4 linked regions of the Astyanax mexicanus genome follow. The protein of the gene in region 2 interacts with the protein of the main gene of each other region in a pairwise test. Links are inferred from orthologs where the notes say so. Each region holds a gene or a part of one and is shown on either strand. Other genes may lie near its edges. The genes, in order: cass4, zyx, nebulette-like and tuft1a.

Region 1 (7,304 bases), on a different chromosome or scaffold from region 2:
GCTTGTTTTTGTTTTCCCATTTAGCACAAGCTAAAACTAATGCCACTAAGTAACAGCTTATTTGCATAAAAGTGACAGAGCCCTTAAACAGCACACTCTGAAAGAGACTGAAACTGGTATAAAACAAAACATGTTTTGTATAGAAGACAGACCTACAGTATTCTAACTTGTGTATTCACACAGGTTAAAAATGTTTTTAAAGGGTCTGTTTTAAGACTCTACTTTTAAATCCTCTGCACTTCTGCATTTATTACTTTTGCAACCGATATCACAAAAAAAAAAACTACACAGAGGCCACTTCTGCTTCGAGGAGTCTTAGAATAGCTGTGGTGTTGAGTGTTGAGTTCAGCTGACGACAGTGTAGCAGCGCGGATTCAGGGAGATACGAGGTCTTTCAACACTTTACCCAGAAGCCCGTCTGTACGCTGGTTTACGTCTTTTCTACTCGACTTAATTCCAGGGATTCCTGGAGGAAAGCAACAAGTTAACGACACCAATAAAGTCCCCTTCTCTCTCTCTCTCTCTCTCTCTCTCTCTCTCTCTCTCTCTCTCTCTCTCAGTATCGTATTTCACAGCAGACACTGCAGCTCTAAGCAGGGCTTCAGGGTTGGGGGTGGGGGGGTTGAAAGGAGGTCATGGGGTGCATGAAAAAATAGGATGGTGAGCTGACACCAGCCTTTAGACTGATATCCCAGCAGCTGGAGGTCCACACGCAAAAAAAAAAGAAAAGAAAAAAAGAAAAAGAAAGAAAGTGACCCTCATAAAGAGTGCTGATCACTATTAACTCACTATTAGTTTGGACACGCCTTAAAATTCACTGTTGTATTTTAATTATTTAAAAATGTTCTTCATTGTAGATTAATAATACTAAACTTCTTCAAACTATGAACAAAAATATATAGAATTAAAAAACAAAAATGTGTTAACCCTCCTGTAATTTGATTAATCCTGGTTTATGTTTAATTACAGGTAATAATGCTTCAATTAGGATAATTCACTCGTTTTTCATAAAAAAAAAAATACTAATGTCCAAACTTTTCTTAATGTTTCACTACTTTTGAAACACCAACGTATATAAAATACAGTAGTTTTATTTAATATTAAAAAATAACATTGCAATTTTGTGTTTTAGTTTTAGTTTTAGTTTTTGCAAGGGGTGGTTGCAAAAATGTAAGATGAACCATTTTCATACTGAAAAAAAATCATTTTAACTATTTTTCCTAGATCTATACATTTTAAAACAGGTCAGTTTGACCCAGATCAAAACAGGAGGTAGAATCTCCTGGAGTTCAGGCTTTCAGTTAACAGCTGTGCTGAACTCATCAAGAGTTAATTACTTGAATTTCTTGTCTCTTAATAAAGTGTTTGAGAGCATCAGTTAAAGTAAAGTAGTGAAGAGGTAGAGTTACAGGTATACAGTGAATAGTGAATATTTGAGTAATGTTCGAATCCAGGTTAATATATAAAGTCAATTTTAAGAACTTTGAAAGCATCCTTAAGTGCAGTCACCGCAAAGACCATCAAAAACTTTATAATGAGGAAACTGGCACTCATCAGGACCGCTCCAGGAAAGAATAAAAAACTAAACTCTTCACAGAGTGTTTAACACTTTTAAGTTACTACATGATTCCTTACTAAAGTTTTTCAGCAGTGTTTGATACTGTTACTTTGGTAATTAATGTTAGTTTTAATGATGTTAACTCACGCTTAAACCCTGTAATCCACACACTTCTCTCACACTATACATTAATAACCGATACAGCAGTTTCAGAGGCCCTAAGATAGAGCCCAGAGGGACCCCACACTTCTGGTTAACCAAACACCAAGTTACTAAACTCTGCTGATGCTTCATGTGTTTGTTTGTTTTTTCTGTGTTTATCACTATTAGGGCTGTACGATATTGGAATATTGTTGTGCAATGTATGTATTGTGATATAAAAAAAAATCACAAAACAATAATGACTAAAAATAGTCACTAATCAATAATAATTTATACCAATCACTAGAGTAAAAGTTAATGCAATTGTGCTGATTTAACCATTATTCCAGCATCATCCAAAACAACAACTTTACAGGAGAGACATAAAATCTTAACTAAATAAATGGAATGTGAAAAAATGTATGCCACATAATGTAGAGCGTTTCTATTGGTCAATTTCTCGTAAACTTTTGAGACAATATATAAAGCAAATGCAAGTTAGCAATGTGCGTGTGTGTGTTGATAAAATACTTTATATTTTTATTTTATATTCGGTATGTAAATTATCTGCAGCAAATTATATTTGACTGTTTATATAGATAAAAATATATTAATAATTATACATTCCATTCATAAGCAAAAATCAAAAAGGTGCACACATCTGAAATCAAGCTGAATTAACAAAAATGAAATAACAAAAAAGATGCAGAGCTTCAAAACAAGTTCATATTCATAAAGTTTTAAGAGTTCAGAAATCAATATTTGGTGGAATAATCCTGTTTGGTTTTTAATCACAGTTTTAATTTTATGCATCTTGGCATCATGTTCTCCTCCACCAGTCTTACACACTGCTTTTGGATAACTTTATGCTGCTTTACTCCTGGTGCAAAAATTCAAGCAGTTCAGTTTGGTGGTTTGATGGTTTGTGATCATCCATCTTCCTCTTGATTATATTCCAGAGGTTTTCAATTTGGTAAAATCAAAGAAACTCATCATTTTTAGGTGTTCTCTTATTTTTCAGAGCTGTATGTAGATGATCTGATAGTATTGATAGTATTGATCAGTGCTTACCTCCATCTCCGTCTCCGATCACTGGTCTGCAGTTTAATCCAGTTAAATCTCCATTTAGAGCTGCAGTAGATCTCAGAGCTCTACAGCAGAAACCTTCTTCCTCTCTGATTCTACACCTCTGATCTCTCCTTCACTTTTATATCACTTTTAACACTATTAATCCAACAGTTCACACTCCTCCCTCTCTCTCTCTCTCTCAATCTCTCAATCTCTTCACACACTTTCTACAGCAGTGAGTGAATGAGGGAAGACTCTGCTGGTAGTTCAGTCTGCCTCGGACCCTCAGCCAATCACAGCGCCTGTCCACAGCTGTCCCCGCCCCTCTGTCTTCACCCGCCTCCTCTTTTTCTTCTGAGAAATGCAGCAGTGTTCAGTAGTGGGTGAGTGTGTGCTGCCCACTGATATCACTCTTTCCTTTAATTGTTTCCGGTGTGATGCTACTTCTATTCATTACAGTTAATGCTTTATTTTGCACACACACACACACACACACACACACACATTTAGACACACACACACACATATTTAGACACACACACACACACAGTTAGACACACAATTTTTGGGACAAAAGTAAAAGTAAATAAAAACTAGAGTGGTGTGCGAGTGTGGCTGCAGTGCTGATTTTTGGGGTGTGAAGTGGTTGCTAAGGTATTGCAAGTGTTGCTAGGTGGCTCCTATGGTGTTGCTGTGGTGTCAGTGGTAACTGCTATGGTGGCTGTCAAGGTGTTGCTAGGTGGTTGCTAAGGTGTCGATATGGTGTCTGTGATGGTTGCTTAGATGTTGCTAGGTGGCTGCTGTGTTGTTGCTGTAGTGTATAAGGGGGCTGCTGTGGTGTTAAGGTGCTGCTAGGTGTTCCTGCACCTAGTGCGAGTGTGGCTGCAGTGCCGATTTATGGGGTGCCAGGTGGTTGCTGAGGTATTACGCTATGCTAGGTGGTTGCTAAGGTGTTGCTGTGGTATCAGTGTTGGTTCCTATGGTGTTGTTAAGGTGTTGCTAGATATTGCTAGGTGGCTTCTTTGTTGCTGCTGTAGTGTTTATAGGGGCTGCTGTGGGGTTAAGGTGCTGCTAGGTGTTCCTGCAGAAAATGCGAGTGTGGCTGCTATGGTGTTGTTAAGGTATGTTAGGTGGTTGCTAAGGTGTTGCAGTGGTGGCTGCTATGGCTTTGCTAGGTGGTTGCTAAGGTGTTGCTTGACAGTGGAGTGTAAATATGTTTCTCGTAGCTCTTCTGCTTTCTTTGTTGTTCCATATTATGTCTTTTTTCTATTCTCTCTCCCCTTTTTTGTAGTGAATATAGTGAATAGTATATAGTGAATAGTGTATAGTGAACGGTATATAGTGAACAGTATATAGTGAACGGTATATAGTGAACGGTGTATAGTGAACGGTGTATAGTGAATGGTGTATAGTGAAGAGTATATAGTGAATAGTATATAGTGAGTAGTATATAGTGAATAGTATATAGTGAATAGTATATAGTGAATAGTATATAGTGAATAGTATATAGAGAACAGTATATAGTGAACGGTATATAGAGAACGGTATATAGTGAACGGTATATAGTGAACAGTATATAGAGAACGGTATATAGAGAACGGTATATAGTGAACGGTATATAGAGAACAGTATATAGTGAACAGTATATAGTGAACGGTATATAGAGAACAGTATATAGAGAACGGTATATAGAGAACGGTATATAGTGAACGGTATATAGAGAACAGTATATAGAGAACAGTATATAGTGAACAGTATATAGTGAACGGTATATAGTGAACGGTATATAGAGAACGGTATATAGTGAACGGTATATAGAGAACAGTATATAGTGAACAGTATATAGTGAACGGTATATAGAGAACAGTATATAGAGAACGGTATATAGAGAACGGTATATAGTGAACGGTATATAGAGAACAGTATATAGAGAACGGTATATAGAGAACGGTATATAGTGAACGGTATATAGAGAACAGTATATAGAGAACAGTATATAGTGAACAGTATATAGTGAACGGTATATAGAGAACAGTATATAGTGAACGGTATATAGTGAACGGTATATAGAGAACAGTATATAGTGAACAGTATATAGTGAACAGTATATAGTGAACAGTATATAGTGAACAGTATGTAGTGAACGGTATATAGAGAACAGTATATAGTGAACGGTATATAGAGAACAGTGTATAGTGAACGGTATATAGAGAACAGTATATAGTGAACAGTATATAGTGAACGGTATATAGAGAACGGTATATAGTGAACAGTATATAGTGAACGGTATATAGAGAACAGTATATAGTGAACAGTATATAGTGAACGGTATATAGTGAACGGTATATAGAGAACGGTATATAGTGAACAGTGTATAGTGAACAGTATATAGTGAACAGGCACAGTTTCAGACTCGTCCATTGTGTGTTTGAGTCTATCCCCTCCAGCGTCTGAGCTGATTTATTGTTGACAGCTTATTTTAAAGACCTGGATTCTTCTGAGTTTCTGCTTTGTTGTCTAGACGACACAAAGAGCGGTGGACGGGGACGGGGGGACGGGGGATGGGGTTTATGGTTTGGGGGAAGTTTTGGAGGACAGACTGGAGCAGATCCTGCAGTCGTGGTCTGGTATTCACCAACGAAACCCAGCCAGAAAGAGTTCCCATCAATCTATCAGTGATGCTCCACATCTGCTGCAATCACTCCACAAAGAATTTCACTAAAATACTCTTTAAATTTAATTTATATAAAGAGAAACATAATCAAAGGTGTGAAAAGTATCTAAATTCATTACTCTGTAGGGTGAATAGAGTATAGATACTAGAATTTAATAAAATACTTCTGTAGAATTAAAAAAAGTATCAACTCAAGCTTTTTACTTTTTGAGTAAAAGTTTAAATAAAACTACTTCTACTTCTAAAAACAAACAGCCATGCTACTCCTAGTTCCTAATTCAGATCGTTTTCATTCCGGCTTCTCATCGTTTAATAAACCCCCTATCCAGATAAATCTCTCCATCCAGATAGAGTGAATCTGATTGTGATTGGATGTAGAGAAGTATAAACACATACCATTCTGACTCCCTATTGGTTTATACTGTGATCCATCACACCCGTGGGTGTGGCCTAAGCTTTTAAAGGTTTTAGTCTTGATTACTTTATTTTTTCTCCTTACATTACTTTTACTTTTATACTTTAAGTATAAGGTTTAAATCCAGTACTTTTTAAAACACTTTTACTTAAAAGTAAAAGTTAAAAGCTTGAGTTGATACTTTTTTTAACGTACAAAAGTATTTTATTAAACTCTAGTATCTATACTCTATTCTACCTACAGAGTAATGAATTAATAAAATAATTTCACACATTTTGAATTAATTTGGATTAACATTATCAGTGGAAATCCACATTTCTGTCCTTGTTTTAATATAAGGAATTAAGTGACCAGTCTGGAGATTTTTTGGTTTACTGACGCTCAGACAGCTCTCTCCTGGAATAAAAACATTCACATCTGTTAAACGACACCAAAAGGAATTTCACTCAGGCTGCTGTTTTTTCAATTAAGGTCTGATATAAACTCTGCATATCAGATTCTAACATTTGTTTACTTCTAAAATGACAAAAAATAAGGAAATAAAATAAGAAAGCACTTAAAAATGATGAGTTTCTTTGATTTTATTAAATGTAAAACCTCTGGAATATAATCAAGAGGAAGATGGATGATCACAAACCATCAAACCACCAAACTGAACTGCTTGAATTTTTGCACCAGGAGTAAAGCAGCATAAAGTTATCCAAAAGCAGTGTGTAAGACTGGTGGAGGAGAACATGATGCCAAGATGCATGAAATTAAAACTGTGATTAAAAAACAACCAGGTTTATTCCACCAAATATTGATTATTTCTGAACTCTTAAAACTTTATGAATATGAACTTGTTTTCTTTGCATTATTTGAGGTCTGAAAGTTCTGCATCTTTTTTGTTATTTCAGTCATTTCTCATTTTCTGTAAATAAATGCTCTAAATGAGAATATTTTTATTTGTAATTTGGGAGAAATGTTGTCTGTAGTTTATAGAATAAAACAACAATGTTCATTTTACTCAAACATAAACCTATAAATAGCAAAACCAAAACTTGGACTTTCTAAAACTGATATAAAACAGTGGAATTGCATATAAAGAAAGGGAATCATAGAAATACAACATTATCACAATACATTTCCCACAATAACGACAATATCCCATCATCACTATGCTCGATTTATCGAAATACAGTTCTCTACGATACTTCACAGCATCTACATTATTGAGGAGGGTAAAACACTCCTAAATAATCAAATACCAGCAACTATGGATTTATTAGTATTTATTTATTTAGTAAAGAAGCAGCAACTTAAGTTTTAGTCTAATTGGTTGGAGCTTTAGAGAGTTTATAACGCTAATGTTTTAATAAAAGCATCCATAATTGAAGCCACGTATCACAATGTGATATCACAATATCGATATATTGTCACACCCCTACACATGTCCTAATTTACTAATA
Region 2 (7,480 bases):
TGGATATCTAACAGCTAACTCTAGCAAGCTAGCTAGCTAGCTTAGCAACTACACCGGCTACCTGCCAGCTAACACAACAGCTTGAGAGAAAATAAGAAAAGTTAGCATAGCATGCATTTAAATTTTATTATAGAAAACATATCCATATATTTTTTCTTGTATATTAAACTATACATATATATCGACACTGAACCCCGTTTATTTGGGTGAGTAAATCCTTTCAGTTTATTCACAGATGACTTAGCTAAATTTTAAATATTTTGATTACGAGAAGTTAATAATAGGGGCCGCCACGCTAGTTACCTAGCTTAGAAAAGATAAGATAAAACGAGCTTTTATTAATCACACAGCGGCGAAATTTGTAATGTTACAGCAGTGTCAAGAAGTTTAAAACAATAGCTATAAGATGAAAAAAAAAACATTTAGCTATATAGCTATAAAAACAAGGGAACGTAGGTTCACAATACTAAGCAATATGGTAAGCTAGATCTAAAAAATAATAATATTAGAAGAACCATGGTTCCCCAGCACGTATAGTCGCTAAGCTAGTTACCTAGCTAGCCAGGTCATATTTGTGCTAATTTATTAGCTAAATAACTAGCTAATGTAGGTTATCTTTGCTTAGTAAACAATTTAACCATTTAGCTTGACATACTTAGAGAACAACTAGGGAAATAACCTATTTAACTAGATAGAAAGCACAGACTCTGCCCCACCCCTCTAATACAGCTACTAGTGTACAGGATACAATGGCACAAACAAATACCTGTATGACAATCCTATTTATACACAGAATAAACTTAGTTATCTAACCTATCGATTTTCATGCTACTCCTCACAGAAAGACAATAACAAAAAAAGAAACAATACAAACACACACTGCTGCTAATAATAATAATACCAATGAGTAAGGTAACTGGAGCACTCCACTTTCACACATAAATCCCGTAAATACGGACACTGCAACAGAAAACACACTCACTCACTCAGATTATAGAAAACAGGGTTTCTTACGCTGATCGGAGCAGCGGCGGAGTGTATCACAGTAGTAGTTTCACAGTTAGTAGGTAGGTTAGGTTAGATCAGTAAACCGTCTAAAGTCGAGCAGCAGCACCACGGGGACCAGGTTCAGCTCCTTCGCCTGGTTTTAACGCCTGTCTGCCGCGCTAACCCCTCCCTTAGTGACCTGATATCACCGCACCAGTACAGTCCGGGGTCTGATTAGTCATTTATCCAGCTCGTTTCTCTTCATTGTGTTCTCTTGGCCGCTGTTTGAAGGTTTTTCTCCACCTGGAAATGTTGCTGTGGGAAGTTTTCCCCCAGAAATGTACCCTCACTTCCGGTTCCAGCTTCCGCCTTCTCCCCGGCGCTGGGAGTGAATGTGATCGATTTTCAGCACTTTTAGCAAAAACTTCGGATAAAATACTGAAATACAGAACTCCCCGGTTTAGTACTGATGTGGATTGTTTTTGTGATTGCTTGACATTTCATTAAATAAAGAAATACAACTGGAAAAATGATATGCTTTTTAAAATTTATTTTTCTTTGCATTTGTTTTTGTGGCTTTTTTAAAAATACAATAAAAATACATTTGTAATTATCTCATCATCTTAGAGAAAAATAATACAACTGGAATATGTGCACTTTTTACAGCTGTGTTTTTATTGTTTTTTTTTTTCCTTGCCATTTTTCCTACAAATTTGTAACATGCATTATCAGTAAAAAGTCTGGACAAATCTTCTCATTTAATGTTTTTCTTTACTTACTTTTTAAATCCCTTAACAAGCAGGCGTTTTAGATTTTTTTGCCAGATATTACACACTTATATATTGAGGAGGAGGTGTTATGTTTGTTAATAAACTGTACTGAAAATCGTAATTGTACCGTAATAGAAATAGCAAGTATTTTAAAAATGAAAAAAGTAAATCTGCAAATGTAAAAATATGAGGAATAAAATAATATTAAATATAATAAAAATATAGAAATCTAATCATGAATTTTGCATTTTCTAAATTTCATTTTCAATTTAATATTTTATAAACAGGTAATGCCCTCTAAAACTTTAATTTTATTACGGTTCTCTAGTCAACGTTTTCAGAATGTAATATACTTATTTTACTTTAAAGAAAAGGGTGATACAGGCAGTTCCATGAACTTCAAAATGCTGAGAAAACCATACCAGGTGACTCTGCCTCATAAAGATACTGAGAAAATACCTATAAATGTGGGCAGATCTGTCCCCAAAGCTAAATGCTAAAAAATAAAACATATTCTGGTTTGCTTAACACTTTCTGTTTTCACAAAATAATTCTGCCTGTGTTAATATATAGCTTTAGTATCCTCAATATTAAATTTACAATGTAAAAAACATCACAAAAAGACAGAAAACACATTTAATGAAAGGAGGTGTGTGTAAACTTTTGACTGGCACTGCATAACTGTGTTTTGTTGTTCAAAAATGATACATTTATGTTCTCATTTTTGCCATTTTTTTTACTTTTTGACATCATCTAAATCTGGTTGTTTGTTATATTAATTCAACAATCAGTTTATTAGTAAATTGACCAGTAGAAATGCTCCAAAAAAGCTTTTGTATCCAGAATCCCCTGAAACTAATGCTGAGTTCCATCAAACCCTAGAGGCCTAAAGTGACATCAGGAGCTTTTTTTTTTTAAAGAGAGGCTGGCATTCTTGTTTATCTGTTGCAAGGAAGGTTCAGCTTACCTTTTTACTGAAGGAGGTCTTGGTATCTTCCTTTTCTACTGATACAGACTTCTCTTTTTTACTGGAAGTCCACTCTCTCTCCCTGTCTCTCTCTCTCTCTTTTACACTTTCTCCCTCACTCACAAACTGTTCCTGTTAGACCCTCCCCCTATTTGTCTCCCAAAAGAATGGCACCATCCTTCTAAACAAGTTCTTTCTCGTTTGCCTTTCACCCTGGTCAGGTCTATCACATGCCAAACACCTCTCTCTCTCTCTCTCTCTCTCTCTCTCTCTCTCTCTCTCCACACACACACACACATACACACTCTCCTCCCCTCTCTGTCTCTCTTTTTCTCCCTCTCTTCGCCTCTCAGGATTCTTTAAACATTCTTCATTCGATGACATCAACCCTGCCTGCCTTTCCTTGTAAGGGCAGAGTGAGTGAGAGAGCCAGAGAGAGAGAGGAGGGAAAGATAAAGAGAGGTTGGGGGTTGATTAGACACAGACATAGAAATGAGGAACAGTTGGCAGGAGAAGGGTAGTGAAGGGACATGAGGTGCTCAGGGAAAACACTGCACTCAGATCAGCTTCAAACCCACAGGAGAGCCCAGCTTAACAACAACAACAGAAAAAAGCTAACACTTTAAAATGAAAAGAAGTTTAGTGCAGCTATGGTGAACCTCATTTTATTCCACTGCTCATATGGTTTTCCACAGCCAGCTCCAGCTGTAATGTGAAACACATGAGATCATCCGAAAGATATTAGCAGCTCTCCTGTTAACAGCAGGCCCGAAAGAAAAGCATCCACTGAACCAGGCTGAACAATGCAGTGCAGTGCAGATTTAATTTGTACTGTAAATAAGACTGTGATACAGAGATTTTTTGGCTTTCTTTCTATCGGATCTGAGCCAGAGTCATATTAAAAAAATGTCCTTTTATCGCTTCCACAGTGTCAGAGCTCAGTTCCACCCATCCTGCACATCTGCTGCACTCTCCCTCACACACATACATACATACATACAGTCTATCCTTCCTGACTAGGCTTATTAATGTTTCAGGTGCATTATTATTTTTCCCCCTGTAGTCTACAGCAGCCTGGAAAATATCTAGCATTTGTTCCTGTGCAGCTCACAACCACAAATCCCATCTGCACAGCTCACTGCCCAGGCTGATGCAGTGGAAGCTGCCTTTTCAGAAAACAGCACTGGACCCTGCACCGTTAATGTGGAACAGTCCCTCCTGTCAGGAAGGAGACAGTTTGACTTGTTTTGTTTCTTACATGTAGGCCTAAGTGAAAAATAACAGCAGGGAGTGGTCACAGGCGGCCTCCCAGCATAAAATAACAGTTTAGCCTTAGTTTAAAAAGGATCACTCTTTTACTTAGGGAAAAGTGTAATGATCCTTTTTGAATTTCTGTAGGAATCCTACAGATGATTCAAGTACTGTAGTTTTCTACAGCCTTCAACACTACAATAAATATTGTTGTAAAATACTATAGAAACATAATGGCTTTTGTAGTAGCAAAGCTGGTAACGACACAACAGATGAGAAATTAATTGCCCGGCTAGACGAGTACACCACACTACTCTAATAAATGTCTTTAGGCAAGACTCTTCATGCCCCATTTACTTACTTTAAAACAGTATGGAAAATGCAAATTAAAAAGTGTTTCATTTATTTGCTTTAACTTTTATAAACAATGAATGGACATCCCTTAAAAGGATTGTTGTTTTGAAGGTTGCTCTAAGATCTCAGTGTAAATTTTCTGCATTAATGCTGCTGCCACAAAAGTGTACTGCCACAACCCCAAATGTAAAAGCTTCATTTCTGGCTGTTGAACTTGTTGCTAATAGCAGCCTTGATTATTTTTTTTCCATTTTGGTTTGTGCACATTTATTTATTTCCCCCAAAAATATCTGAAATACTGGAACAGTCTACATTTACACTTTGTGATGATCCACCCCAGATGCCTCAGCACTCAGAGAAGTTAACACTGTTTTGGACATGGTTAACATAAGGCTTCTGTTTGGCACAGTACAAATTTAAGTGATGTTTGTGAAAGTAGCTGTTTATTTTAGTGCATGACAATGGTTTACCAAAGTTTTTCCATGTTTTTTATCATTAGCTATTGTTGAATGATGTTTCTTGATGAAGTGCTGTCTAAAAGAATTGGAGATTGTGGGTGTTCAGCTTAGGCTTGTGTCCCTGTACTTTCCGCTTTAAGGATTTTTATGCACTAAACGGCTTTAAGGATATTATGCACAATAGACAGGGAAACCTGCAAATATTTTTCATTCTTACTTGGAACATTGTTTTTAAGCATCTTCCATGGAGATCCTCTGCTGATCTTTGCTGCAGAAAGTCCCGAATGTCTCAGCCTTTACCCTTGGATACTGCTCTTATACCAAATCATGGTTACAAATGCCTGTTGACCTGATATGTTTGAAATAACATCATTATTTAGGTTTCAAGTAAAATGAAGTTGAGCAGACAGAGCATATTTATTTTATTAGCCTTTTCCACACTCTCTCAGACCTTTCTAATTCGGTTTTGTTGCTCTGGATATAAGTATCAGACCAAATCCCAATGATATAATCAATTATTATGGAAAATATTACACAACACTCATTTCTACAATTCTTTCGCCCAAAGGATTTAGTTTGAGACAAAGAAGGACAGAAACTGTTGTTAAAGTAATTGGTCAGTCGTGGGCTGTAGTCTGCACAGGGAAAGAGATGGGAGATATTTTGGAGTGTTTTGCAGCCTGGCTGAAGGTGAAGCTCTCAGCAGGAGGCCCATTGGAAGCAGAGTCCGTGCAGCTTGGAGTACTGCCAGACACAGCTCAGAACAATTCCCCCTCCACCCTCACCCACCATGACTCATTGTGTGTGCTCATACTGTATGCCTCAGCTAGATTCCTACATCCTCATTCTGTTCCCCTTCATTCGGAGGGGGGAGAGTGGACTGCAATCATCCATATTTTTTCTTTTTCAGTTTTCTCTGTCTCTCTCCTCCCCTGCTGAGAGCATTCGAAAAACTCTTGACTTGTGTTTGCACTTGACTTGCTGTGCTCACCCACAGAGATATACATAATCATACAGTTGTGCATAATCACACACTTGTGCTTAGTTAGATTTTCTGAGAATTAATCCTCTGGTACAGAGCTGCATACTGTGTCAGGACCGAATCACTCATATTGAAATAGCATTCAGAAAAGCCTTATGCTCTCTGTCTGATCCCCACCCGCATACCCGTGGACACCTATCCATATTTAGTTCTGATCGTGTGCTAAGTGTAGCCTTGCACTTTTTGGCTCGTCCACTAGATGACAGTACAGAACTCCAATTCATCAAAAGAGGCCCTGAGAGAGGGCTTTAAATACAGCTAATCAAATCCAGTTGGAGAGAGTGCAGCAGTTCTGCATACTGTAGTGTTTACGCTGCTCTGATGTTCCTCCCAAACTAATTATCACACTCTTTATCAGTTAAATCGAGGTGGCTTAAAGCAGGGAAACCACTAGAAAGAGCAGTTGTGGGAATGAAGGTAGGCAAAGGCAGAGTTTGTGGGTGGCAACTGTCAGAACAGTAAAGAAGCCTACATATTATTTAGCGCATTGAAGGCTTTATCAAGTATATAAAAGAACAATGCAGAGAACATAATACAGATAACACATAGCCTATCATCATAAATCATCAAAAATATTTGCTCTGACTGGAGCATAAGGTACTAACAAAGAACTTCCACTCTCGACTGTCCTGGGCAAGCCATTGAATCTTGTGCCAGGTCTTCTCGCTTTTCTCTATCTCCTTCGCTAGTTTACCAAAATGGGAACGCTATCTAAATGACAGACTATTTATAAATTATAATCAAAACACTAGATTACACAAGATTCAATCTGGCCAAAATCCTAACCAGCATATTTAAACAGGGTTAACATGCCATTAGATGCCGCTAGGCCTTCAAACAACATTATAAAGGATATCCACTGACTATAAATAATAATAATAATAATAATAATAATAATAATAATAATAATAATAATAATAATAATATAAAATGGTATTAGCAGGGTCAGTGTAACGTTTAGCAGGTTAATTTTCTGACCGTATCAAGCTAAATTCGAAAATAGAAAATTAGGTATAAAACTTAATTATTGTTTTTTTTTTCATTCAGTATAGAGAATAAGAAATGTGTTTTTATCCAATTATTTCAATTATCTAGTTTTTTGTTTCTGCCTTACACAAAAAGTTAAATCTTCTTTCGATTTTCAGATTCCATTTTTATGTCTTGTAACACAAATCTGATGATATAATCCAACTTGCAAAATGCAAAAATGTAAAAATCAGAAAATAAAGAAAAGATTCATTTTACCTAAAATTCCGATTGTGAGGGGCATAGATGGAAAAAAAATTACATTGGAAAAATGGATGAAAACTTATTTCTTGTAACCAAACCTACATTTAAAAAAAATGTTTTTACATCACATTTACTATTTTTGCAATCAGAAAATGTAATTAATAATCATTAAACTGACGTAGCAGGCTATTCCAAAATGATGTTGCATTGTTGACTATAGTTATACGCTACTGACGATGTGACACCACTCTCCCATATTATAGGCTGTGGAACAGAATTTCAGGAACGAGAACAGACAGGCGCAAAGGGAGTATATATGCAGAAATGATAAAGGCAAACGATTGATGGACATGAGGCTTTAAAGAAGTGGACAGACAGCAAGGCTATCTATGTTAAGCAGTGGAGCCAGATATGGGCAGGC
Region 3 (6,927 bases), on a different chromosome or scaffold from region 2:
AGACCCATAAATCCTGGCATTGCCATCTTGGAATATTCCCGTGTCATCAGGGAAGAAAAAAAAATCAATTGATGGAATAACCTGGTCTACATTCAGTATATTCAGGTAGTCAGCTGACCTCATTCTTTCAGCACATACTGTTGCTGAACCTAGACCTGCAGACCAACTGCAGCATCAACCCCACATCATTTACTTACTTAAATCCAGGTGGAGACTTTTTTTGTCCAGGTAGTGTATTTTTACAGTTGGCAATTGTGTTAGAGTACTTTTAGACCTGGAATAATTATTTTATTTCAATAATATGTGAGTAAAGTGTAAATTTTCCAAAACTGTCTCATGGACTGCAGAAAACATTTTAACTTATAACCAGATTTAGGTGAGTTTAATCAAGCCTTTTAACTCCAAAATACTACTTTATTTTTTATTTTTTTGAAATATGTTAAAACACATTGGTTTAGCAATACATTTAGCATTTGTTTTAGATTGTCTAGTGTATCTGGAAGTGGACATACTGGTTGACTTGCCCAGTTAGGTAATTTTAAGCATACAGTAATAAGTATTATAGAACATTCAAAAACTTAAATATAATCACCATTAATACAATCATCATAAGTATAATCATCATAATCACTGAATATAAAAATTATATTTCCTCATACAGTGTTTTATAGTAAGATTAAGTGACTTATCATTTCAGTCACCTCTCTGGCAAACTGCATCTCTCTGGTCTCTGGCAGAGCGGAGTAAAGACAACTGGATAAATCCTTCTTCCCTTCTTTATACTGGAGCCAGAGGATTAGAATAATGAGGAGGAGAAATTTACATAATTATTTATTTAATTATTAATTTAAACTTTTAATTACAAACAAACAGAAGAGTAGCAATAGTGTAGTGTGTGTGTGTTACCTCACTCTGAAGAGTGTATTCTCTTGTGAAAAGGAAGTATACTTAAGAATTTACTTAAAAAAGTATGTTCAAATTAATTAGGTAAAGAATACTAAAAGTACACTTTCTAGTTTATATACGTTATAAAATACCCATTAAATATACTTTATCTGTATTTCCATAGAATGTATTTTTAAGCAATATGCTTTAAATGGAACATTGTATTGATAGAAAATATAAAGAGTGGCATTAATTACTGCTTTAAGTGCAATTTAGCGTATTTTTTCCCAGTAACATTAAGGTGTACACAATATGTGCATCCATATGCAAAGTAGTACATTCACAATAAATTTCAAGTGTATTAAAAAATGTGTTTAAAAAAGACATACTAAAATCTACTAAGTTTGCAGACGTACTGAAAAGCCCAAACAAATGTTTCAATGTTGTAATAAAATATAGCTTAATTACAATTAAAATATACTTCAGTTGTCATAAATTATTATAAAATAGAACAGTTAGTATGTTTTTAAGTATGTTTTAATTTTAATGTTAAAAGTATGTACTTTTCCATGTTAAGTATACTATTAACAAATATACTAAAATGCACTTTTCTTTTACAAGGGTACTCCTTTTTTCCTGCTGTCCAGTTTGTTCATTTTCACTCCTAAACACATCACACACAAAAATACTTGACGTATTAAAACAGCAACCCAGGAAAGTCTGTTCTCTACAGTGAAACATAATCATGTTAAATGAAGCTGTTTTAATGTTAGGCTTTTTAAACTCAGGACGCCACAGACAATTAATTAGAAATGCTTTAAAATGTATTGTTTGGGAGGACACACATTCAGAAGAACCTAAATGTAGCAGTGTGCTGCACCTCACTGTGTGGCTGTACCTTATATTCCGCAGGCTGTGTAATCTCAGCAGTGTTCTGAGTCTCTGCAGTATCTTGTAAGATGGGTCTATTAGAGTCTGGTAAAAGCTCTTTCATTTCCTCTTTCTCCTTGTAATAAATAAACAATTATACAATTCACACAGTATTTAATATTTAGAATTTTCATCATCAAATCACTGTTAACATACATGACTGTTAAAGACAACCTGAAGTAATGGAGGTCAGAGATAACTGAGTTTTGAAGTAGACCATAAGTAATACTGTTTTATACTCTACAGTAGGGGTGGGCGATATGACCATAAAATAATATTGTGATATTTAATGGTATTTTCACAATAACAATACTCTTGGTGATATGACAAAACACTAAATTGAAAAAAATATTTCAAGAATACACTACTGCAATAAGGAACAACACAAAAATTTTATTAGATTTGTAACCGAAGTCAACCGACTGCACTTCAAATATCTCCATATATCCAGTTTTTTTGCTAAAAAACAGTAAAAAAAAGTAGTACCCTGATGTAATAATTAGGGGTGGGTGATATAGCACAATATTTCAGATATCATTGTGTATGATATCATTGTGTATGATACAATATGGCACACTCCTACATTACAGGAAATGTTAAAAACGCTTTTTTACAAACTGGATACTATAGTAACCATTTTTGCCATTTTTTTCCAAGGAGCATTTAAATTAGTTTTAGGCACTTTCTTACTGGGTACTATCACTTTAATTTTCTTTTCAGTAGGGATGTATGATACTGAAAAACAGACACTGCAATATTTGTTCTGTGACATATTTTGTGATATTAAAAATGTCATAGAGAATGATGCTATAAAAATATCATGCAGGCCTATGTTTCAGTACTATATATATATATATATACTCTTTACGCTTAGAAAAATACTACACTGTAAAATTCCACAATTTCCAAAAGCTTTTCTTGCTGATGTTTGATGTCATTAAAACTATGCTCAATCAGCTTAATGAAAATAGTCACTATAACTAGTCACTTCACTACCACGTGTTAACCTTTACAAGAGTAAACATCATTCTAGATCTACTGATTCAGGTTTAGAAATATGTTTGTTGCTCACAATCATTAGAAAAGACAAATGAAAGAGAAATCTCTCACCTCCACAAGTGCACAAGCATCACTGGTATCATCTTTATCTGTCTTGTCAGCATCTTTAGCATCAGCGGTAGACATTTCCAGAGTGCAAATAAAACTAAGACACAATGAATCTGATTAAAGTTCTGCTAAGATCTGTATGATGCTAAACCTAATTTCTGTTCTGGTCTGAGGAGGCTTTTTGTCTGTGTCTCTGGATGAGGAGCTTCTTATCAAATCTGAGCCTCTCGGTTTAGAAAGCACTTTAGTGTTATCATGGCAGAGCCATTAAAAGACCTCCTGCTATTGATAATGCTGTCAGTCTGAGGAATGTTCCAGTTCTATTCTGTCCGACACGGTAATATCTACATGTTAAAGCACAGTTCTGCTGAAAATCAGCATAGTCAGCATAGTTTGTTTGATCTGATGGTTAAACTATTTTAACTGATTGGGTTAGACACCCAGTATGACAAAGCCAGCAGATCAGCATGATTAGCATGACTTAATCAATGGCAACCTACACTATTCTGGTCAAGAGCTGGTAAATCAGCTGGCTTACCAGTATTGGGTCTGTTTTTGCCTCAATGATCAGCTTTTACACCACCTTAATCAACAAAGACCAGCAGAGACCACCTGAAACAAATGTCTAGTAAAAGCTGAATAAATTAGCATTACAGTTATTAGATAAATGCTCTAAACACAGATAGGGCCTTTGCTTTTTTACTTAATTGAATGTTTGTCAGACTTGTCAGCTATGTGACAGCTGTGAGCAGAAGCGTTACCTGGGATGTAAAGATTTGGGACTCCGCCCAGCAAACGATTAGATTTTTACAGTTTTTTAAAGTTTCCTGTATAATATGTAGTTTTTACTTTTTAAATGTAATTGATTTAAAGGTTTACTGGAATTCAGCATTGATGACCTTTCATTATGAGCAACGCCCAGAGATATTATCACAGTGATTCTATATCAACAAAGCATTTTATTTAACAATGCCATTTATTCCAATTTTACAGTATATTAATAATAAAAAAAAAGAAACACTGAAGCTATAGTAACTCTCTTAGTGAGTTGCACAAAAGCACAGGAGTGGCATAATTTTTGTCTACTATGTGTTTCAGCTCGTTTTGAACAAGTGATGCCTTAGCTTAGCTTAGCTAACAATTGTACAAGCTAAAATAAATAAAATATATTTTTCTATTCATTTTCAGATAGAAGACTGAGGTTGACTTTAGTGGAGAATACTCACTAAAGAATGTGTTGTGCGTTGGTTTGACCACCAGAGGGCTCTCCTGAGTGAGTCCAAAATAAATGGGTTCCTATGGAGCAAGTAAACAAAATGAGAGTTTATAAATGTTTCATTAGTTTTATACTGGGAATTGAGCTATATGCTCAACACTAAATAATGTAAAGATGTTTCACTTTTGCTGAGATCATTTTTAAGCTTTTAAAATCCAGTTATAAACTTTTAAACTTGGCTGTGGCTTTGGCTTTAACTCTAGCATAATCTTACTAACCAATCAGCTCACAGTAGCAGAAATGCTACTAAAGTACTATGAGCTGGTCCGAATCCCGGTCATGCAGCTGCCAAAGCTCTGAAGGGGCACAATTGGCTTAGCTCTCTCTGGGTGGGTAGATGGTGCTTTTTCCCATCATCACTCCAAAAGGTGATGTTGATCAGCACAAGGCGTCTGTGAGCTGCTGTATCGCTGCACTTTCCTCCGAGCGTGCTGTCTACTTGGCAATGCTACATCAGCAGCAGTTCAAATAAATATAATATATATATATAATTTTTATTTTTATGTTAATTGCAGTGTAATAATTTTTTAAACATTGGTAAGTTTTATATAACTTTTTTATTTCACAAATCCCTCCTAAGCAGTAAAAATAACTCATAACATGATTTTTTTTATTATTATTATTTTGTTTAATGCAGTAGGCGAGGCTACTAAGGTGCTGTTTTTCACTATAGATAAATGTCAATTCTGTTGGATAACAGGCCTAAATCTGTATTACATGCAAGAATACAAATAAAGAAGAAAACATAAATTGTCCATTTCAATGGACGCAGGGTCTGAAAGGGTTAAGAATGTCTTTAGGCTTTGTCGGGCCAGCAGAGGGCGCTGCTGAGTGAGTCAAAAATGAATGGGTTCATATGGAGCAAGTGAGCAAATCCAGAGTTTATAAATGTTAGATTATTTTTATACTGAATAAATAATTAATGCGAATTATCTAAACATCAATCAGGAACAAATGTGGGTTAGAAAGCTTTAAAAAGAGCTTAAAAGCTTTTAAACTCAGTTATAAAAGTTTTAAACTCTCTAGCTTTTACTCACCAACCAATCAGCCCTCGGTAGCAGTAATGCTAGCGGATCTGTTGTCCACAAAATCGTTTTCTGCAGAAAAATATAAACATACGGTAAGTTTTCTATGTTTTTAAGCAATATACTCTATTCTAATTTCTAAAAGTAAAGGAATATCCCGGACACGTGTTTAAATACTATTCTTAATTAGAGTTTTTAGCCGTTTAGCTCCGTTCACTCTTATTCATTGTGGACTCCCTCGCGGGCTCCCTCTAGCGGTGTGCAGTCACTCGGCTCTCCATAATAATCCAGCACTGATCTCACCGCATGTTTAGTGGCTAAACAGCCTTAAAATAACAAACGTTTTTTTTAAGCAAGTAAACAAACCAATAATCAACCCAGACTTTCTCACTTTTAGCTGAAGTGTTTTAACATTGTGTAGAAAATAAATTCCTTAGTGTTCTGCCAGTGAGACAAGACCAACCTCCCAGCATGCATTGCGGTGCAAAAGTGTGACAAATATCTCAAATTTTGCCGGTATTTGACACTGTGCGCAGTTTATTTTATATGTATACGCATTGACATATAATATATATAATGTAATAAAGATGAATATAAAACATTTATATTTAGTCACCATCCTCGAGTTATTCATCTTATCTCCGCGGTTTAAAAAGGCTCAGGCGCACATTTCATGTCGGCTGGTCCGAAGGCACTGGATATTACAAGATTGCTACAGTCAGTTTCAGAATCCTTGTTTCTTCTCTCCCCTCTCCCAATGCCGTCCTTGACTAGCCTTTTGCTGGCCAGCACTTAACGTACCGATGTTAATGCACGTGTGAAAGGGCTCTACTGCCTGCAGGTTACCCCCATATCCATATACACATTCTTATATTCATGAATGTGTGTCTACACTGGCTCATTTAATACAGTATGTTGTATTTATAGTGTTTTATGACATACTGAAATTCTACACACTGCAAGCATGTGGTTGATGTTATGGTGTCAATGCACAAAAGCCAATAACCTACCATATTTATTTGACCCTAATGATTTGTTGTTTATACTGTAAGCTGTTTAATCAATTAATGTAATTTGTTTCTTCTATACAGTTTTTACTGTTTTTAGTTTTTAGGATAAAGAAAAGTTCAAAACGGGCACCACATGACCCGTTATATAACCAATAAGAAAATAACCCAAATTGAGCCACAAATTAAGGATAGCTAGTATATATCAAATTAAGCATAATGTTCATTTAACAGTACCGTACACAGATTAGCATTTTACCAAAAATAAACATCTCAAACACACTCTTATTAAAAAAATCTAACTCTTATTAAACATATGCCGCATTAAAATCAATGTAAACTCAAAGAGTGAAGAAAAACATTTTTATTACAAAAATACTAGAAAGATCCTAAACAATAAATGTACAAGACAAACAGTAAGAAACACTTTTCCCTTTGTTTTTATGTTGCAAAATAAACTGAATAAGAATTACAGGGAAGGTTTTATGTTCATTATTTTAGAACTGGTTTATTCAGTTGACAAATCGTTTATTTTGCGTTATTCATCACTGACAGCAGATTAAAGGCTCATTTATAAGACTGAAAATTGTGGGGCCAGGGTAGCCAATATTTCAAGCTAAACAGCACATGGACTCAAAAAAAAAGTATGGTGGAACTTTTTTTAGTTTTGTAATAAGTACATTTTCAGAACTCCTTT
Region 4 (6,980 bases), about 37 Mb from region 2:
AGTGCTTACTCAATTTGAAAGTGAGAGGAAAAAAAGCAGGGGAAATGCAATCCCGTCTCTAAGATACAGAACATTGTGTTTCCAGTCTGCAGCTTCTGGAAAATACCACAACTCCTCCGGCGGCCAGAGCACTGGTTTGAATGTACATTTGAATTGTGGCACAGAGTCCAAACAGGGAAGTACTCTTTGGGGCGACGTGGAACATCACCATGACAACGCGCATAAATAAACAGCCTTCTGCTCTAAAAGGAATGCAGAAGGAAGATGCAGATAATCTAAACATGCAGATCTGATGCAGAACATCAAATACAGTTCCTAAATTACTGTTGTGTCTTATGAGGGTATCTGCAGTTATTCGAGAAAAGACTTTTAAATATCCCACAGACACAAAATTAAGTCCACTTTAACAATAAATTGTATTTTGAGATTTCACAAAAAAAGCTTTGTGTAAATGATAATGGAACTTTCTGTACTTTTTGAGAAAGCAGGGTCCAGTGCAAAACTGGGATATTTAACTGTTTCTGTTTAAATTTACACTTTTCCAGGCCTTAAGTACAGCCATGAGCCATAAATAATGCAGTCGGTTCTGTTTAAATTAAGCCTTTTGAGATAAATGAACATAAGACCTTGTAAGATGATTTAAGCATTCGCAGACACCCTGTATTATGTACAATGTTTACACAATGTTACTACACAGGTGAGCACAAGCCTCCCACCTCTTTTCAAACTGCCACCAATGCAATATTACTAGGCAGCCAATGCACTTATAGGAAAGCACCAGATGCCCAGCTTTGATACATCAGCCAACAGATGCCGGCGTCTCAATGAAAGTGATGAGAGCAGAGAGCGGATGGTGATGCTGATGGTGAATCAGCATTAGAAATTATTTTCTCATTACAAATATAATGTATAGCTTCGGTTTCATCACTTAAAGTCACTTTTTTCCATTGGCTGTTTAGTGCAATAAGTATTTTAAAAAATGTAACCCCCACCAAAATAATCTTATGTAAAATAAAAAGTCAAGGAGACCTGCCCACCATAAACCGGGAGTGCAGCAGTGGATAAGCTGTTTGAAGTTTATACAATGCACTGTTGAAGTCTTAGCTAAATGGTTTTATTCCGAATAATCACAAACTATTTTGTTATTTGTAATCTATATGTAATCATTAATGCTAAAGGCATGTGGACACATATCTGTAGTGTACTATACACAAAAACTGTACTACAAATCCACAAAATCTTACAACAGTCTGACAGTGTTGATGAAGAGGAGGTTCCCAAAAGAATGCTGTGCGAATCACATAAAAAAAAAAACCCTAATTACACGCTTAAACTCACACACATGCACACACCCACAGAGTCACAAAGAGGTATTTACTCAGCAGAAGGCAGTAAGCTGGTTATATAACACACACGTTATTGACTTTTATCTATATACACATGCACCTGCACACTTTCACACTGCATTTTAAGCTTCAAGTCAATATGTTAATATTAACGCAGGGAATGAGGAAAGACAGAGAGAGAGAGAGAGAGAGTTAAGACAAGACATTCCACACATACTTTCCCCCTGACCTTCACCTCAGACTGTCCTGACAGTTCAATACATGGGAAATGTCACTGCACACGCACCCTTCCAGTGAAGAACACTGTTGAAATTGTAAGTGACTTGTGTGTGTTTAACTGACTCTGATAGACAAACACTCTCTGCACAGCCCCTCTGTTGCATAACGAGTGTGTGCGCATTTCAAAGGACACTCACACCCTGCAGTGATAACTCATTTGAATACTTAAAAGTTAAAGTTATAGGTATACAGAGCGATAAGCAACAACTGTAAGACTATAAGCTATAAGCTCTTCATCCATAGTCATTTACCTTTTATTGTCATCCTGAAAAGATACGGCAGTACTAATAAGCAGAAATCACATTAGACATTAACAATGCATTAGAAGAAAATACTGATCATATGTAAATCACTATAAGACATCAAGAACAGTGATTGGTCCTTCTCTACATTGCATTCAACAATAATGACAGCTTTTATATAGTAAGAAAAATCACAGTAACGCACAAAAAGCTAAAATTCCAGTTCCTGATCCAAACATGGGCAGGTTTTAAGTAATTTTTCTCTCTGAATCTCAAACTTAAATTAGTGTGTTTCAATAACTACATGAAAAACCAAGCAAAGTGAAAACAATGAGTCTGAATGCATGACAAGGTTAATAGGGTTATTAAAAAGCAGCTGTTCATACTATAGCTAAAAATGCATTTAAAAATAGCTCTCAGATGAACGCAAATACCCTAATTTGATGTTATTATAGTCGAAAAGACAAAAAAATAGAATCCAACACATTTCAGTTTCTCTGAGGGCGAATGGTAGATGAGGTACGCCAAGTAAGAAGATCCACTAAAGTTCTATTAGGGGGCTTTTAGACAAATATAATCCTTTGACTGGAGTATGGGTTTAAGCTGCGCTGCATCTGCTTATCAGTGAGTGACGTTCGCTGTTGGGTAAACACAGGCTTTGTGCAATGCACACACAACTCTGAACATAGACCACAAACAGAGTCTGTGCACCAATACATCAAGTAGCTGAGATAATAGCAGTGATGCACGATACACCGCAGCACATTGCTGTGTTCTGTGTCATTACACTGGATTAAAGTGATTTGGCTATAATGCAATGTTTACCAGATTACCTGTAATACTACAAAATCCCACAGGGATGACCACAGACAAAACAAATCTGGCAACGAGACATCACACACCCATGCAATCTTAGCTAACAGCTTTATCTGTGGAAATATGTCGACACTAAAGCCACTAGACAGACTTAAATGACCAAAACCAGACACTTTATCCTGTCCAGTAAAATAAATGAAAGTTTTATTTACCAGAGCAAATGAACCAGTCTTCAGGTCCGCTCGTCTCACTGTCAGGAGAGAGGAGGACTGCTGAAACTGAACTTTGGAGCTAGTCATAGCCTGTGTATGAGAGTGTGTGCGTCCGTGTTTCCATAGAAGGCAAAGCAGCATTTAAACAAGCGCCCTGCCAAATTGAACACCACACCTCAGTCCAGGACAGCAACAAAGGCATAATTGCACGTATGGTATGCACACACGCACACAGATTTTCTCGCCAGAAACAGTAGAGGATTATGAACTCTATTCACAGGGTATCAGTGTGGATTTTGCTTACAGCAATACAGCTCTATTCATACCTAGTAGCATCATATAAGCCCCTCACAGCTATATAAATGCACTGACCTTTCAAACAGTGAAGATACAGATAAACAGTCTGCAACTATATATGTATACTGGGGAGCTATAATAGATTAGGTTCTAATAAAGTGGCAAAAGAGTAGAAGCTTGAGGTAAGTGTTTCTAATAAAGTGGACAAAGAGTGGAAGAACATAGAAGGGGGGTTCTATTAAGGTGGCCAATGAGTGAAAATACAAGGTATGGGTTTCTAATAAAGTGGCCAGTGAGTGAAAGAAAAAGGTAGGGGTTTCTAATAAAGTGGCCAGTTAGTGAAAATACAAGGTAGGCACTTCGAATAAGTTGACAGTAGGGGTGGGCAATATTGGCCTAAAATAATATCACAATATTTCATGGTATTTTCGATATAACGATACTCTTGGCGATATGACAAAACTCTGAACTAAAAAAAAAATCTCAAGAATACACCACTGCAACAAAATGAAAATAAAATTTGAGATATTAAAATAAATACAAGAATTTTATCAGATTTGTAACAGAAGTCAATGATCTAGAATGTCATGATACTAATAATGCTCTCGAAATATCTCCATATATCCAGGAATAAAGTAAAATAAATTATACTGGACATATATAATCTATAGTCTCTAGTAGATATATAATAGGAAAGAAGAAGTGTGAATTTTTCTTTTGCAAAAACGGCAAAAAAGTAGTAGTTAAATCAGAGAAACAGAAAGAACAAAATCTACCAGGATAGAAAAACTAATCATATGACCAAACCCGTCATATCTGCTTTGAATGGTAAATCAAATCATATGTACAGAGACATCTATTTCTAATTTATTTCTCACGCTCCCTCTTCCTTCCTGTCTTCTCATGTTACAAAGCAGTGTTTGTAAATGCATATACTTAAAGTTTTAGTTCAGCAAAAGATCAAATTTACACAGCTTTAAAAGATTCCCTCCTTAGTTTTGCACTGGAGCTACAAAACAGAGTCACCAAACACGTCATAGCTGATCCATTACCATTTGTGCTAAATGGGGGAAACTGTGTAAATGTGAGTTCTGGCCAAAACAGCACTTTAATCTACAGCAAAACAATGTCCAGGAAAAAGGTGCCGGAGGAGACGAAAGAACAAGAAAAAGAACACATGAGAGAGCCAAGAGTGGAATGTGTAATCGGATATCAGCTCCCGGACCTTTTATTGGCGCTCAGACTGAGGCCCAACTAATCTCTCCCTCTCTCTCACACACACACACACACTGACATTCTTTCTCAGTGACACGTAAAGATCAGGTGAGAACTACACAGGTAACCCAAGACCATGATGCAGACAAAACGTTCTCAACCGTTTTCAGTGTGCACTACCCTAATAGATAATCCACACGGTTCATATATGAAGTTACTGAGGCATCAAAACAGACCTCTTTAAATTATATATTTTTGTGATGTCAAAAAAAAAAAAAAAAAAAAAAAGTTCCTAGGGTTCTAAACATGATTAAGTTCTATGTGTATCTTGATCCTAGTCTAAAAACTAGCTTTGGATATCTGAAGTAACTTTGAAGCACTGTTGTAAGTCGCTCTGGATAAGGGCGTCTGCTAAGTATCGTAAATGTAAATGTCACAAAAACTACATGTAGCAGCAAATAAGCCTACATCAGTTTATCCTCATCCATTTATGCCAAAGCTTTACAGAGCATTTCAGTCTGGCCAGCTTTTTAAATGAGGCATAATTCAGGGTGGCCCATTCAGAGCAGAGGTCACTTATATCTAGCCCTGTCATAATAAATGCATTATCAACTTATCACACAATATATGGGCATGACTTCAGTATTTCTGCTGACCTCAATACTGCCCAATTATATTTACTTAGAAAGGAGAGCCAATTGACATGAATAAGACAGTATGTTTTATTATGTGAATAAGACAGTTTTATTGTGGATATTTAAAAATTTCGATAGAATATTCTATTTACATGTGACAATAAAGAATTTTATCTATCATACTTAGGGGGTAGCACCTTATACAGGGTTCATACACTTTTCAACTAATACATTTCCATGACTTTTCCGAAACCTTCGCAGCAAATTTTCATGACGTACAGTCTTTAAAAAATCAGTGCAGACAAGACACAACGGATTTGCCTAAACATTCAATTATTTTTAACACCAAAATAGCTTTTCTTAAACGGAAACACTGAGATTTGTAGAGCAAATTTCCATGACTTTTCCAAAACTTATCCAGGCCTGGAATTTGCTGTTTTCATGACCGTACAAAAACCTTATACTATATACTTTATACTTATAACCTACTAACAAAGCATCATCTAATATATTATTTGCTTATGTTAAATATGTGATGTTAAACAAGTTTAACCAATATTAACTATGTTAACAAATTATTTCACTTTAACTATTAACTGTTTATTTAATTACAGTGTTTATGAATATTTAAAATGACTTAAACCTGATCAACAAGATGCTTTACATTATTAAATGAAGTGTTCGCACTTATAAATACAATTATTTAAAATTATTATATATCTATTAAAAATCATTAACACAATCATTCACAGTAGATCTTTTTAAGTTGCTGTAAATGAATGATGTGCACCTCAGGGGAGAAAACAACATTATACATCAGAACATTCCACTAATGCTGCTGTTAATTACTGATATTTAGCACCTAGAGGTGAAAACAAACCAGCTGACATTGCTCTCATAGCATGCGTGTTACAGATGTATTTGCCTAGTGAAACACACAGATGATGGAATTTGCTCATGGGCAGTGCCTTCAAAGCCATCAAGCATTAAAATTAAACATTAACATACGGCAAACAGGTCTTATTCAAATGATTTATCCAAGTTAAAATAGATACAAAAAGAGCCTTTGTATTAGACAGACCTGCCTATCTTACTGTCCACTAAATTTGACAAAAAAGTAAATGAATTGTGCTGTTTCTTACACTGAGGTTAAGTTTTGTTCTTTAATTGTGTTTAGACATAGATCAGGCTAAATCCCAGATTTCTGAAAATGTAAACAGCAAGATTATTGTTACATACACAAGAAAAATGCTAATAAATTTTTGATATGCACCAAGAAGCCATCATCTATTAATTTCCAACTGCTCTTTAAAGCATTTATCCCACTCTCACTCCTCTACTGTGAGCTAAAGAGGAAGCTGTAGGGAAGATGAGCAAGCAGAGATAGATGGTCAGCTAAAAGGTCAAATGTAAAAGTAAACAGCCCTGACGCAGCAGGTTGAACAAAGATGGCAAGTGTGTTTTTATGGGAGCGAACCATCCATCCTCTATAACCAAACAAGCCTTCCCAGTAGTCGTGAGAAACACTGCCAGGAACCTGCTATGCTAAACACAACAGGCACTTTTTGTGAGGGATTAGCTGACAAAGCTCCAGTTCAGTGCTGCGCAAGTACTTGCATGCAGGCATTTAGGCTCCTTACCATGTCTTATTTTTAATTTTTTTAACTTAAACATTTAGGTTGTATTTAAAATAAGCTACTACTCATATTTTCAACTATCCTGAATCCTGGATTAAACAAATACTAAGTGACTAATGCATTTTACATGACATAAATCCACCAGATACAGTTAAAAAGATTTTAATCAAGAAGCACCTGTTGTTAACAATATGACTACATTTTGGCATATCATTAAATAATTTTGCTCCTTTTGTTTAAAAAGCTTACTTTTATATTAAAACATTGGGTCAAACATTTTGTTTTAGCTGTACTAGCTGTT

What was found.
Region 1: the proteins of zyx (region 2) and cass4 interact in binary tests that used the Homo sapiens proteins (3 or more experiments, as listed by UniProt). The link is inferred for Astyanax mexicanus from reciprocal best matches to the Homo sapiens genes ZYX and CASS4.
Region 3: the proteins of zyx (region 2) and nebulette-like interact in a two-hybrid assay, tested with the Homo sapiens proteins (2 studies listed by BioGRID and IntAct). The link is inferred for Astyanax mexicanus from reciprocal best matches to the Homo sapiens genes ZYX and NEBL.
Region 4: the proteins of zyx (region 2) and tuft1a interact in binary tests that used the Homo sapiens proteins (3 or more experiments, as listed by UniProt). The link is inferred for Astyanax mexicanus from reciprocal best matches to the Homo sapiens genes ZYX and TUFT1.

What each region holds. Positions count from the first base shown.
Region 1 is NC_064431.1:32,798,670-32,805,973, reverse strand, and holds the start of cass4 (cas scaffolding protein family member 4), read right to left. Parts: upstream 3,005-7,304; 5' UTR 2,777-3,004; coding exon 2,771-2,776; intron 1-2,770. UniProt on the Homo sapiens protein: Docking protein that plays a role in tyrosine kinase-based signaling related to cell adhesion and cell spreading. Regulates PTK2/FAK1 activity, focal adhesion integrity, and cell spreading.
Region 2 is NC_064413.1:39,113,509-39,120,988, reverse strand, and holds the start of zyx (zyxin), read right to left. Parts: upstream 3,016-7,480; 5' UTR 2,725-3,015; intron 1,348-2,724; exon of another isoform or gene 1,015-1,347; intron 1-1,014. UniProt on the Homo sapiens protein: Adhesion plaque protein. Binds alpha-actinin and the CRP protein. Important for targeting TES and ENA/VASP family members to focal adhesions and for the formation of actin-rich structures.
Region 3 is NC_064408.1:108,678,831-108,685,757, forward strand, and holds the start of nebulette-like, read right to left. Parts: upstream 3,001-6,927; coding exon 2,926-3,000; intron 1,892-2,925; coding exon 1,784-1,891; intron 783-1,783; coding exon 702-782; intron 1-701. UniProt on the Homo sapiens protein: Binds to actin and plays an important role in the assembly of the Z-disk. May functionally link sarcomeric actin to the desmin intermediate filaments in the heart muscle sarcomeres.
Region 4 is NC_064413.1:2,086,237-2,093,216, forward strand, and holds the start of tuft1a (tuftelin 1a), read right to left. Parts: upstream 3,002-6,980; 5' UTR 2,983-3,001; coding exon 2,896-2,982; intron 1-2,895. UniProt on the Homo sapiens protein: Involved in the structural organization of the epidermis. Involved in the mineralization and structural organization of enamel.